3 linked regions of the Oryctolagus cuniculus genome follow. The protein of the gene in region 2 binds, or shares a complex with, the protein of the main gene of each other region. Links are inferred from orthologs where the notes say so. Each region holds a gene or a part of one and is shown on either strand. Other genes may lie near its edges. The genes, in order: CACNA1C, CACNA2D1 and CACNA1E.

Region 1 (3,633 bases), on a different chromosome or scaffold from region 2:
ATGTTTAGAATAATAGAATTTGAGATTATTGTCATAGATGCAAGATGTTGGTCTGCCCCACAGCCACGTGGGAGGGACAGGCTGAGGCCTGACTGCAGCAGGGTGGGGGCTGTGGGGAGACCTTCAGATCCAGATGTCCCCTCTGCTGTGTGCCAGGAAGCTGCGTGCTGGAGAGAGCGGGGCCAACCTGGGATTCATGTCACCACTGTCCATCTCCTTAAACTTCAAAAAGATGCTTGAGTTCAGACTCCTATAGGAAACCTCCACAAACCCTGCCTTAACAATCACTGACATTGTGCTGATCTTGTTTCATTTATCTTCTTCGCTTCCCCTATTTTGCTGTTGGAACATTCAAAAAGTAACTTCTCAACATTTTAGACAGCTTGGCATTTTCAAAACAGAGCTAGAATAATAGTATGTCAACAAGATTAACAAAAACCATCTCCAGTCATTTATTTCCCAGTCCATATTCAATTTAGCCCAATTATTTACAGAATGGCACTTTGGTTCATTTGTTGATTCAGGGCCGAGACGAGGTCCTCCCCGTGTGTCTACCAAGTCTGCAAGATTGGCCCCCTCAGCCTGCCCTGCAAAGGATTTTAGGACTTCAAAGGGTCCCAACGTGGAAGCAGCCCTCCTGCTCTTCTCTCTGTCCAAGCCCCAGGGCACCCAACCTGTGCCCTTGTGGGAGTGGAAACGGGTGAGGGTGGAAGCCCACAGGAGGAGCCTACTTCCCAAGGACAACAGAAGAGGCCTGCTGGTGTCCCTGCACGTAAGCAGAGAACAGGTACAGCGAGAAGGCTTTCTGCCACCTAACTGGCTTTCCCTCCAGACACAGCCTGGTCCACACAGAGAAGGAAATGCCTTGACCCCGAGCTGTTGACTTCAAGCTTGAAGCCGATGATAGTATCTGCAATTCTAGGTAAGAGGAGGGCAAGTCTGGGGTTTGGACAGGATGTGAGGCTGCAGGAAGCAAAGCTAGTAAAGCCTGGGGGAGGACCTCTGACCTCTGACATTAACACCCCCTGAAAGGGGACTCCCTGCCCAGTCACGTATCATGAGAAGATGGGGTCAGTAAGAGCTCTCTGGACAAGAAGAGACCTGAAAGAACTTTACAAATCAGCAGGGGGGACGCCGGTGGTGGCAGCCATCCCTGCACCCAGCTGAGTAAGAGCAAGGGCAGACGTGAGATTTGCCACAATTACAAAGAGAGCAGAACACAGCAAAAGGTGCTATACTAACACATCAGGCAAGGAAACGATGATTTGACCAACATAGAATATAAGGAAACCTTGCAGGTATATAGAAGCCAGCTTCCAAAGAGCACAAAAGCCTTGCTCAACTGTAATCTTATCTAACCTAGTGTTGGTACTATGTGGAAACCATAAACCAAGTTTTCCCTCAGATAATCATGGCAATACATAAGTATAGAGACAGGAGACATTTAACAGTGCCACATGCTGGCAAGGAGAACCTGGAGCCACTGGCCCCAAACTCATGGCTGTCCGCACATGGCTTTAGAATTTGCATATCTACCCTCAACCTCCCATCTCAAGGTCAGGCAGTGGGACCGGTACCTGTGGTTTCCGGGTTGGGGTAGGGACTCTTATCCTCACTCTCATTGGGCTGGAGGTCATCCATGTTGATCTAGGCAGCCAAGGAGGGGAAGAAGAAGAAGTTAGATAAGTTCCACAGTTTTAGAGGCTCAGAGTAGCCTTGAAATTGCACAACAATCAGTGGCTGAGCTCAAAAACCCGCCTTTGTCACCTGAGACATCCTCTTCAGACACCAGCAGAGGCCTGGAGTCAGCCAAGTGCATCGGCTCTATTCCCACCGAGTGGCCTCCCTCTGTCTTCTTAGGAAGACCGTGGCCCCCATTCCCTCAGCAGTGGCCACAGCTCCTGGAAGGAGATGGCGACTCACCTTGGTGGTAGGCGGGGACTCTCCATCAGCTGTAATGGATTTCAGCTCAATTTTCTCCTCCTTGGCCTCCTCCAGGGCCGGCTTCCCTACCACCTCTTGTTTCTTCTCCGGGCTGGCAGTCCTGGCCGGTCAGCAGGAGGAAAAGAGAAATGGATGTTTACTGGGGTGGCAAGGAGCTGTTCTGGGGTCTACTGGGCTAGCGGGAGCACAGTCCTTGCATGGACATCCAGGGCACATTGCGTGTGCAACTTAATCACAAGTGCCACTGAGCTGGGCTGCACCTGGCTCTGCCTGGCACTCAATGGGCCCCTTCCAGCCGCTGCTCCAGTTCATTCATCCAAGAATGATTCTGGCTCTCATTTAGGATTGGTTCCTGGAGGAACACTACTCGGTGCCAGGTGGATGCGTGGCCTATGACTGTCCCACCTAGACACTGACGGGACACTCAATGCAGGGCCCACTCCTGCTTTCTTATCACTGGAAATGAAGTAGAAAACACCGAGGAGGCAGCGCTCTGAAAGCTGTGATTCTGTTTCCCCTCCGAGGGGGCTGCCTTCCTCCTTCCCCACCCTACATTCCCACCACCTCTGATGGCTTCTCTGGTGGGGGAAATGCAACACCTTGGTGGGGACTGCAATCCACAACGGTCCTTCTTTAGAGCACCACCCAGGAATTGGAGAGAGGCCCAAGTTACTGCAGGAAGCCTCAGGCCCAGGGCCCTCCTAGGAGTGAAGGGATCGGGGGCCAGCACCAAGCCTCCCTGACCCTCCAGTGGGAACGTATTCCAGAACTGGGATTCTGGGGCCTTGGCCTGGGTGAGTGTAGAGGGTTACCTGGCCAGCTTCTTTCTCTCCTTCTCTTCTTCCTCTTCCTTTTGGGCAGAAGTAAGGCTCTCAGCATCAGCCAGGTTGTCCACAGCAATGGCCAAGAACACATTCAGTAGGATATCTGTTTGTGTCCATTCTTAAAGAAAATGATGCTTGGCCTTGGGGGTATTTGGTGGGCATAGGGGACAAGGAAGAAGCAGGAGACACAGGGGTAGAGTTCCCCAGCAAAGACAGCCTGACACTGACCCACTTTGACAAAGCCCAACAGTGACCCTCTCCCTTTCCTTCTCCATAACCCTATTAGCCACCTGGAGTATCCTACAAGGTTGAGACCAGGCAAGCTTGCAGGTTGGAGCGGGGTGGGAGTGAGGTAGCAAGCCCTGCCTTGCTCTTTAATTGCGGGGTTTTATTGTTGGGTGTCCCCCGAGAGAACTGCTGTGATTGATACTGTCAACAGTATTGTCTCTAATAGAAGACAGAATGCTCTTAAAAGTGGTTATTATAACTGGCACTGAGTAGGTAGCCTGGCATCTCTACCAAGCCTCTATGTGAACCCACACATACAAAGACCCTTGGAGGGTCTGCCTGGAGCTGGCCAGAGCTTGGGAATTCCAAATCAAAGCAGTTATTTGCCCACTTCTTCCCACCCTGCCTCCCTCCCTCACCCCCAACAATAGAAACACAGGTTCAGAGAAAGTACAGCTGGACAGGGTCTTCAAGTTCATGTTGTTGACCTCTACCCCCAGGTGCCAGCCATCCCCATCATTTCTCGTATAGGGAAACTGAAACCCAAGCAGGTAACAGGCTCGTCCCAGGAAGTGCAGACCCCAGGGGCCTTGTCTGCATCATCCCACAACAACTCAGAATGATCTCCTAAGTAGCA
Region 2 (3,633 bases):
GACTTACTTCATAGATACTGCAGTTATTAAGGCATAGTTTTGCATCAGTTGGTGTGTTTACTTTGGCTTCCCTTATTTCAGGAACTTGTTTTATTTCTTTTAGTTTCAGCAATACCTAAGTTAATATCTTAGGATAAATTCAATTTGGAAAAAAAAAATCTTCTTTTCATGTGTTCCAGCAAGGGAGTGAAAGCACGGTTTGTTGTGACTGATGGTGGGATTACCAGAGTTTATCCCAAAGAGTAAGTTCAAATAACACCTGTAAAAGTAAGTGCATTAGAAAAACCGTACCAAGATCTGTGCATTCCTGTATTAAGAAACCGTTCTCCAGAGAAATTGATCATCATTTGTAGATTGCACTGGTGTCATTGTTGTCAAGAATTTGCAGTATTAAAATACTCCATTCTGAAAAATGGAATCTTAGGATTTTTTCAATGATATAGGTATTTTTATATATATATATTTATTTATTAAAATGTTTACAAGATGTTTAAAGAGAATTTTCTCTTGGTAGACATAAGCTCAAACTAATTAAATTAACATAATGATTTAGACTATTAGCAGGATTTGTATAGCATGCCATTGTTTCCAGTGTTCCTTGATGTATCTTTCTCTGTAATGGTCGGAAGTGGACCAAGGAAGCACCAAGACTTACTAATACTAATTAGTCTTGTTCATAATTACCTGGATAGTACCTGGATAGTAAACAGCTGAGTAAGACTAGGAGCCAGTTTTTCTGTTTCTTGATACTGTTCTGATGTATTGCTTAGTAGTATCAGTTCCACTGTCAGCTAGCACTAACTTCCTTAGATACACCTGAGATGTAGACGTTATCTGTAGAGCTCAATGTGTCCACCAAGGGAAAAGTAGGTTATCAGGTAGATTAAAGAATATGAATGATGAGCCATTTCCTCCTTAGGGCTGGAGAAAATTGGCAGGAAAACCCAGAGACATATGAAGACAGCTTCTATAAAAGGAGCCTCGATAATGATAACTACGTTTTCACTGCTCCCTACTTTAACAGTAAGTATTGCTTTGGAATTCAGCTTCCTCAATTACTTTTTCAAAAATAAATTATTGCTGCTACCTGCTTTCTCCCACATCAATATATTTTATGTTAACTGACCAAAATGACTATTCAAAAGCCTGCATTATATGCAAGCTATTAGAAAAATAGAAAAGAAGCATCCATTTAGTTGAAGAGATAAAATTCTTACACAGCATGTAATTATGCAGTTGCGCAAAGGTAGCATTTCTAACAGGCATGCATAGGAAATAGAAACACATGTAGAGCATCCTTCATGGCACAGCTGAAAAATATATTGGAAGAATGCTTAATGAACTAAATAAAATAGAGTAACTGATTAATTATATTTTATCAGTATTAATTACATACTGTAATATTTATAAAATACTGAAAATATTCTGTTGAGTTATTTCCAAAACATCTTTCTAATTTAACTCCTTAACATCTCTGGGAATAGGCCTTACTTACCCCCATTTTCACAAAAGGGACAACTGCACTGGGGCTGTGCTGTGGCATAGTAGGTTAATCCTCTGCCGGTGGTGCAGGCAACCCATATGGGCACTGATTCGAGTCCCGGATGCTCCACTTCCAATCCAATTCTCTGCTATGCCCTGGGAAAGCAGTGGAGGATGGACAAGTGCTTGCCCCTGCACCTGCGTGGGAGACCCAGAAGCTCCTGGCTTTGGATCAGTGCAGCTCTGGCCATTGTGGCCATTTGGGGAGTGAACCAGCGGATGGAAGACCTCTGTCTCTCCCTTTCACTGTCTGTAACTCTGCCTCTCAAATAAAATAAAAAGGGGTGGGGGCAACTGCAGTTCAGAGAATTTCAGAGCTGTGTCCAGGAACATCTACATTATAAAAAGTAACACCAGTTTTAGGCACCCAAGACCAGTCTTTCCTGTTTACTTTTTTCCTCTTTACTTCTGCAACTGCCCCAGCATTTTGGCAGATGGTAGAAAGCCAAGATTTGATGTGTGTGCATTATGTTGCAGATTTAGATTAAACCAAACTAGGTAATTCCTGTCTCCAAATCAATAAATACACAACAATTCATGGACATTCCAAGTAGCTTGGTTGGTATATAAAGAAAGAAGAGAGGAAGAAGGAACCATGCATCTCTTTATGTGTTGTATAATCTATAATTTTTAAGTAAAACACTATCCATCTGTATCTATTGATATAAATTTAATATTGTTATCCACTGTATCTTCTAGATAAGTCTGTTTTCTTTCTTTTCTTTTAGAAAGTGGACCTGGGGCCTATGAGTCAGGCATTATGGTAAGCAAAGCTGTAGAAATATATATCCAAGGAAAACTTCTTAAACCTGCAGGTAAGCATACACACACTATACACATAAACACAATCAAAATTAAATGTGACCTGACATCTACACTATAATCTCCCATCATGTGAATGCCTCAAACAAAATAATGTCAGACATGCAAACTGAAAAAATATGTAATTTTGCTATCTATCAAATTGGGGATAAAATTAAATTGATACTATAAAGTGCTGAAGAATTTAAGAAGTGTTTTTATATATAATCAACAAAAATTTATGGAATCCATTTAACATAATATATTAGGATTTTAAATGCACAACTTAAAACATTGGGTTGATCTAGGAATTCCACTAGAGAAGTCTCTCCTAATACTTTCAAATAAATAATAAAGCAACATGGCCAAGGACATAAATATTTGTAATAATTTAAAGATAGAAAGTTAAACTTCCATCACTGGGGGAGAACATAAATTATGGCATAGGTACTCTATAGAGTCCTATCAGAGAAGATTAGGAAGGGATCTGTTAAAAACTTGCAAATTATAGAAAAATGACTTTTTGGTAAAAATTAAATAAGCAAGTGAAAATACATAATAAAATTAAACATTAGAAGTGGAAGTCAGCTGAGGTGGGTGAATACAATAAAGTAAAAACTTGGTTTTTTTTTTTTTCATTATATGATTTAATTTTACTGGAAATTTAGAAAAAAAGCATAATATTATGGAGGCCAGATGGATGAGTGGTGACCATCCTACTTCAGAGGGCAGTTTTATCCCATCAGTGGTTCTAGTATTTGGTTCACCCCATCACTCACAACTCACACCTGTTCCTTCCTTCCCTCAGTTGCTCGTTTACCAGTTATTCTCTCAGCCTGTTACACGTGCGAGGGGATTAGGGAAGCTTCTTAAAATACACCGCTTGAATGAAGTAATATTTATGAGGCTATCTTTGATATTATTATTATCACTATTATTATCACTATTATTATTTTAGCTTACTGTATTAGATAATTGGCCAGTGTGTGGCCAATAAATAAATTGTTTTGTGAATATAAATGATTGATGATGTAATAGTTCAAGAACAATTAGCATCGTTCCTTAATGAAGAGCTCCCCCCAAAAATCTACAATAACTATTCACTCCAACATTTTTTGCTTTTGTATAAATTTTCTAATATGTCATATAGCAAAGATTGTATTACATCCATTTCTATCTTTAATTTTTCAGTTGTTGGAATTAAAATTGATGTAAATTCTTGGATAGAGAATTTCACCAAAACTTCAATCAGGGATCCGGTAAGATAGTTTTTTAAAACCTCTTATGCTA
Region 3 (4,065 bases), on a different chromosome or scaffold from region 2:
CCCTGGGGCTGACACACTGAAGGGGACCAGGCCTGAGGCCGGCCGGCCCCCATGTGCCAGGACCGTGCCTGTGAGTTTCCAGCATGCAGAAACTTCACACTCATACGTGTTCTGACACAGCCCACACCAGCAGGGCTCACGTGGCCCTGCCCACGCAGGCACAGGTGGGAACACTTCCCTCCTCACCAGTCAGCAGCTGCACAGGTTCCTCCCTTAGCCCCTCCCTCCCTGCTCTTCCAGGGTTCAGGTGGGCAGGACTGGACAGGACTGTGTGGAGGACCAGGCAGGACAAGGCACAGGGAGGTGTGTGGACGTGGGAGGGGAAAGCTGCGGGTCCCCCGACCACCTTGGGGGCTTGGCCGCCCAACGCAGGCTGTTCCTCTGCAGCTCTGGGTCTGCCTTTCCCACCCTGTGGCCCAGCACTAGTTCTGCTTTTCTCCTCACCGATAGTGTGGGCTTCAGAAAGTGAGCTTATTTGGGAGAAGGGGGCCGGATGCTCCCTCTGTTAGGGGGCCCAGAACTTGCCATCAAGGCCCCGCAATATGCGGCCCTCCCAACCCACCCAAAAGCCGCCCAGAAGGTCCCATAGGAGAGCAAGTGCAGAAGCTGACGGATCTGGCACCCACCTCTCCCTCGGGACCTTCAAGACGCTAAGTTGGAAGACGGGGTGAGCGCACTGCCCCCGTGGAAGTCCCCGCTCGTGTTCCTGGAGCCTGGGAGGAGTGGACGAACCCCGGGCGCGGCGCTCGCGCCCCGACTCCGCCAGGTCGCCGTGCTAGGACGGGCGTCAGAAACCCCGCTCTGCAGCCACGAGCCGAGAGCGCGCGCGTGTGCGCCCCCGCGGCCCGCTCCGCTGCGGAGACTGCGCCGCGCCGCCGGCTGCGCCCGCCCAGCGGCTCAGTTCTTCTCAGCCAAGGCGACCCCTCCTTGGGCCTCTGCAGAGGCGGCCGCTACCCCGGCCGCACCAGTCACTGGGCAGCCGCCTCCGCGCGCAGGAGCCGCCTCCGCCGCGCGCGCCGTGCGCCCCTGCGCTGAGCTCGCCTTCGCTCGCTCGCTCGCCCGCCCGCCCGCCGCCCCTGCGCCCGCGCCAGAGGCGCCGCCGGCGGAGAGGAAGGCTGAGGAGGGGAGCCAAGTCGCCGGCCCGGGCCGCACCTGTTCCTCCGGGCGCCGAGGTCCCGGCCCTGCTGCCCCGCGCGAGGGACGGGCGGGGCTGCCCGGCTTCACTGCCTCTGGACGTGGCTCAACTTCTTTCTCAGGCGCAGGAGCCGGGAAGGCGGTCGTCCCTCTCCGGTGGGATCGACCCCTTATTTGGATATTTGGGCGTTGCGGTTCACGCAGGAAGCTCGGCGGCGTGCTCCCCTCCCAGCCTCGCCAACCTTCGCATGCGCCGGCGCCGGCAGCCGCAGGCACCGGGCCTCGGCCGTGGAATTTCTCAGATGGACTCGCCCTAGCCGCGGCCTCGGCTTTTTCTTTCCTCTTCCAAGTTCTTTTGTTTTCGCCCCTCCCCCACCGCACGTCGCCTTCTCTCGGACCCAGGCGCCGCGCCCGCCCCAGCTGAGCGGGTGCTGAGTGCAGCCCGCCCCGCGCTCCCAGCTTCGGCCAGAGCTCCATCGCCATCCGCGCGCCGCTCGCTGCGCCCTGCTCCCCAGCCCGGAGCGGCGCCCAGCGTTCGACGGCGGGCGGCGGGGCCGCAGGAGCCACGGCTGAGGCGCCGCGCGCGCCTGCTGCCTCTGCCTGCGCCGGCCGCCGTCACCTGTGTATCTCTTCTGTTTGAACTTCAGGATGGCTCGCTTCGGGGAGGCGGCGGCCGGCAGGCCTGCCTCAGGCGAGGGAGATTCGGACCAGGGCAGGAACCTGCCAGGAACGCCCGTGCCGGCCTCGGGGTCCGCGGCCGCCTACAAGCAGTCGAAGGCGCAGAGGGCGCGCACCATGGCCCTGTACAACCCCATTCCCGTCCGGCAGAACTGCTTCACGGTGAACAGATCCCTGTTCATCTTTGGAGAAGACAACATTGTCAGGAAGTACGCCAAGAAGCTCATCGACTGGCCATATCCTTTCTTCCCCCAGCCCCTGTCTCCCCGGCCTTCCTCCTGGGGAGGGGCGTCTGCCGCGGGATGCCTTGCCCACGTACCTCTGGGCTCCAGCTGGTGCCTCTGCTGGAGTTACGGCTCAGGGGCAAGCCTGGGCACTTGCGTTCCTGAAGGTAAGACTTTGGCTTTCTGCTTTTTCCTGTGTGGAGACCCCTAGTGTCCCTGGGGTGCCTGGTGCTGTGTTTCTGCCCTTTTGTGGGCTTGGTTCCCACCCACCCCCCCCCCCACACAAACCAAGCCCCTCTCCAGGCTGCCTTCCTCAAAGCTTGAACCCTCTCTCATCTCAAGGCTTTCTTTGATAATCGGCGTGCCTTTTCCTGTCTCAAGTCAGCCCCTCTGTCCCATCCCCTCCAGCTGGGGAGTGACCTGTGCTGTCGGCCTTTGGGGAAGTTGAGGCTCCAGAGGGTTGGATCTGTTCAGAAGCCCCCAGAGCTTGGCCTGCAGCCCTGTGCATGCGCTGGCAGCTGGGGCCCAGTGGGCTCCGGGACCAAGTTCCAGCTGTGCTGAAAGCGGCGGGTGCTGTGGGAAAGGCTGTGCCGCAGGCTTCGGGTGCTAGCCGCTCCGGGTGGGGCTCATCTGTGTTCTAGGCCCCCTCTGCATGGCCTTGAGCTGGGTCCTCCTGCCCTTAGGAGCCTGGCTGCTGTCCCCACTCCCAGGGGCCTGCGCTTGTCAGCGGAGGGAGAGGGGTGCCAGCCACCTGTCTCCAGCTGCAGAGGAGTTGCTCTCCACCAGGAGCTGGTAGGGGCGTCTGAGGGAGGGGGTGGCGGGGTGAGGGGGCCTGCAGGGGTCTTCTCTGTGGGCTTGGTCAAGTGCACCCGGTACAGGTGCTTCCCCGCCTTGTTCTTCACTAAGAATCTGGGTGCCTGGCACAGCCCTTGGGGCTTGGGGGTGGGGTGGGAGGCGATTGGGTGGAGTGGTGTTAAGGACAGTGGCTCAGGGCCAAGGCCTGGGATGCTTGTGGAGGGAGGTTTCTTGGGAACAAGCCCCTACCAGGAGGCCCCTCCTCGTACCCCACCCCACCCCCAAACCCCGATCCTCCCGAGGTGCAGCAGAGAGACGGCTAGAACTGCACGGGTCTCTGGTGTCAGCCAGGCACGTGGCTTGCTTCCCCCAGGGCCTGGGCACCTCCCTCCTCCCCCGCCCTGCTCTGGCCTTCTCTGCTTCCCTCCTCCCTGGCTCCCTGCTCCAGCCGCATGGTGATTGGCTGGTGCGTGGTGCTTCCAGGGAGCATCTCTACGCAGATCTTCCTGCTGCGGTTTGCACCCTCCCACCGGCACCCCTGGCTGCGCTTCTCCTCCTCTCCTGCTTCCTGTGCCGCCCCCTCCCCCAGAGTGATCCCAGGCCCTGCAGTGCCTGAGTCTTCTGTAGGTTGGGGGCCAGGGTGGGGGAGAGATCCGGTCCCTGCAGCCGTGCCTGCTGTGCCCACAAAGGGCAGAAGTGCCCCTCCTGGTGCCGCTGTGGCCCGCAGATCCCTCCCCCAGGAGGTCTCTGCCGCTGGCCCAGCCGCCCGCCCGCCCCTTCCGCATTTCTGCTCTAAACCCTCTCCCCCGCCCCTGTTCATTCAGTCAGGCACTCCTTCTCCCCTGCAGATAGAGCCACTGGGTGGCCGGGGTGCAGCGGCTATCAGCACCTCGGACAGCGCCATCGACCTGCCGTGTGGGCACCTCCACAGGCAGGCTGGGGTTCCCGGCGGGGGAGGGGGGGGGGGCAAGTCGCTGTGTTCCCTGCTGCCCAGGGCTGCCTCTTTCTGTGTTTCTCTGTCTTGCTGCAAATGCTGCCTCTCCCCAGGTGCAACTGGTGCCCAGCTGTGCGTCTTACAGAGGGAGTCCAAGGAGAGGCACAGGAGGGGTTGACTTCAGCTTCAGGCTTGGGGCCTTGGCTGCAAGCCCCGTCCCCCTGGTCTCGTCAGGCCCTGTGGCTGGGCTTGACACAGGTTCTGCAGCGTGGAGCCTTGTACCTGTGCCGTGTTGGGTTT

Evidence for each region.
Region 1: the proteins of CACNA2D1 (region 2) and CACNA1C are in contact, whole or in part, in a cryo-EM structure (PDB 8WEA), measured with the Homo sapiens proteins. The link is inferred for Oryctolagus cuniculus from reciprocal best matches to the Homo sapiens genes CACNA2D1 and CACNA1C. Residues at the interface, in NP_001353796.1 of Homo sapiens: Thr170, Asp171, Tyr173, Ile233, Leu235, Gly262, Ser263, Ser265, Lys270, Thr274, Ala327, Lys328, Gly329, Ile330, Glu366, Gln391, His392, Tyr394, Ile416, Gly417; in NP_955630.3 of Homo sapiens: Phe147, Pro148, Glu149, Asp150, Asp151, Ser152, Asn153, Ala154, Asn678, Lys1090, Gly1091, Asn1092, Tyr1093, Ile1094, Tyr1096, Gly1099, Val1101, Pro1104, Ile1106, Arg1109, Tyr1156.
Region 3: the proteins of CACNA2D1 (region 2) and CACNA1E are in contact, whole or in part, in a cryo-EM structure (PDB 8EPM), measured with the Homo sapiens proteins. The link is inferred for Oryctolagus cuniculus from reciprocal best matches to the Homo sapiens genes CACNA2D1 and CACNA1E. Residues at the interface, in NP_001353796.1 of Homo sapiens: Thr170, Asp171, Tyr173, Ile233, Leu235, Ser261, Gly262, Ser263, Ser265, Gly266, Leu267, Lys270, Ala327, Lys328, Gly329, Ile330, Thr331, Glu366, Gln391, Asn393, Tyr394, Ile416, Gly417; in NP_001192222.1 of Homo sapiens: Gln110, Leu112, Pro113, Glu114, Asp115, Asp116, Lys117, Pro119, Arg122, Asn630, Phe631, Asn632, Asp633, Gly634, Ile1330, Gly1331, Asn1332, Val1334, His1336, Met1341, Val1343, Arg1346, Arg1393, Ser1394.

Annotation. Positions count from the first base shown.
Region 1 is NC_091440.1:100,409,654-100,413,286, reverse strand, and holds part of CACNA1C (voltage-dependent L-type calcium channel subunit alpha-1C), read right to left. Parts: intron 2,872-3,633; coding exon 2,757-2,871; intron 2,045-2,756; coding exon 1,924-2,044; intron 1,648-1,923; coding exon 1,578-1,647; intron 1-1,577. UniProt on the Homo sapiens protein: Pore-forming, alpha-1C subunit of the voltage-gated calcium channel that gives rise to L-type calcium currents. Mediates influx of calcium ions into the cytoplasm, and thereby triggers calcium release from the sarcoplasm.
Region 2 is NC_091434.1:146,804,707-146,808,339, reverse strand, and holds part of CACNA2D1 (voltage-dependent calcium channel subunit alpha-2/delta-1), read left to right. Parts: intron 1-179; coding exon 180-242; intron 243-919; coding exon 920-1,023; intron 1,024-2,270; coding exon 2,271-2,357; intron 2,358-3,534; coding exon 3,535-3,602; intron 3,603-3,633. UniProt on the Homo sapiens protein: The alpha-2/delta subunit of voltage-dependent calcium channels regulates calcium current density and activation/inactivation kinetics of the calcium channel. Plays an important role in excitation-contraction coupling.
Region 3 is NC_091444.1:369,131-373,195, forward strand, and holds the start of CACNA1E (voltage-dependent R-type calcium channel subunit alpha-1E), read left to right. Parts: upstream 1-1,184; 5' UTR 1,185-1,781; coding exon of another isoform or gene 1,782-1,782; coding exon 1,783-2,048; intron 2,049-4,065. UniProt on the Homo sapiens protein: Voltage-sensitive calcium channels (VSCC) mediate the entry of calcium ions into excitable cells.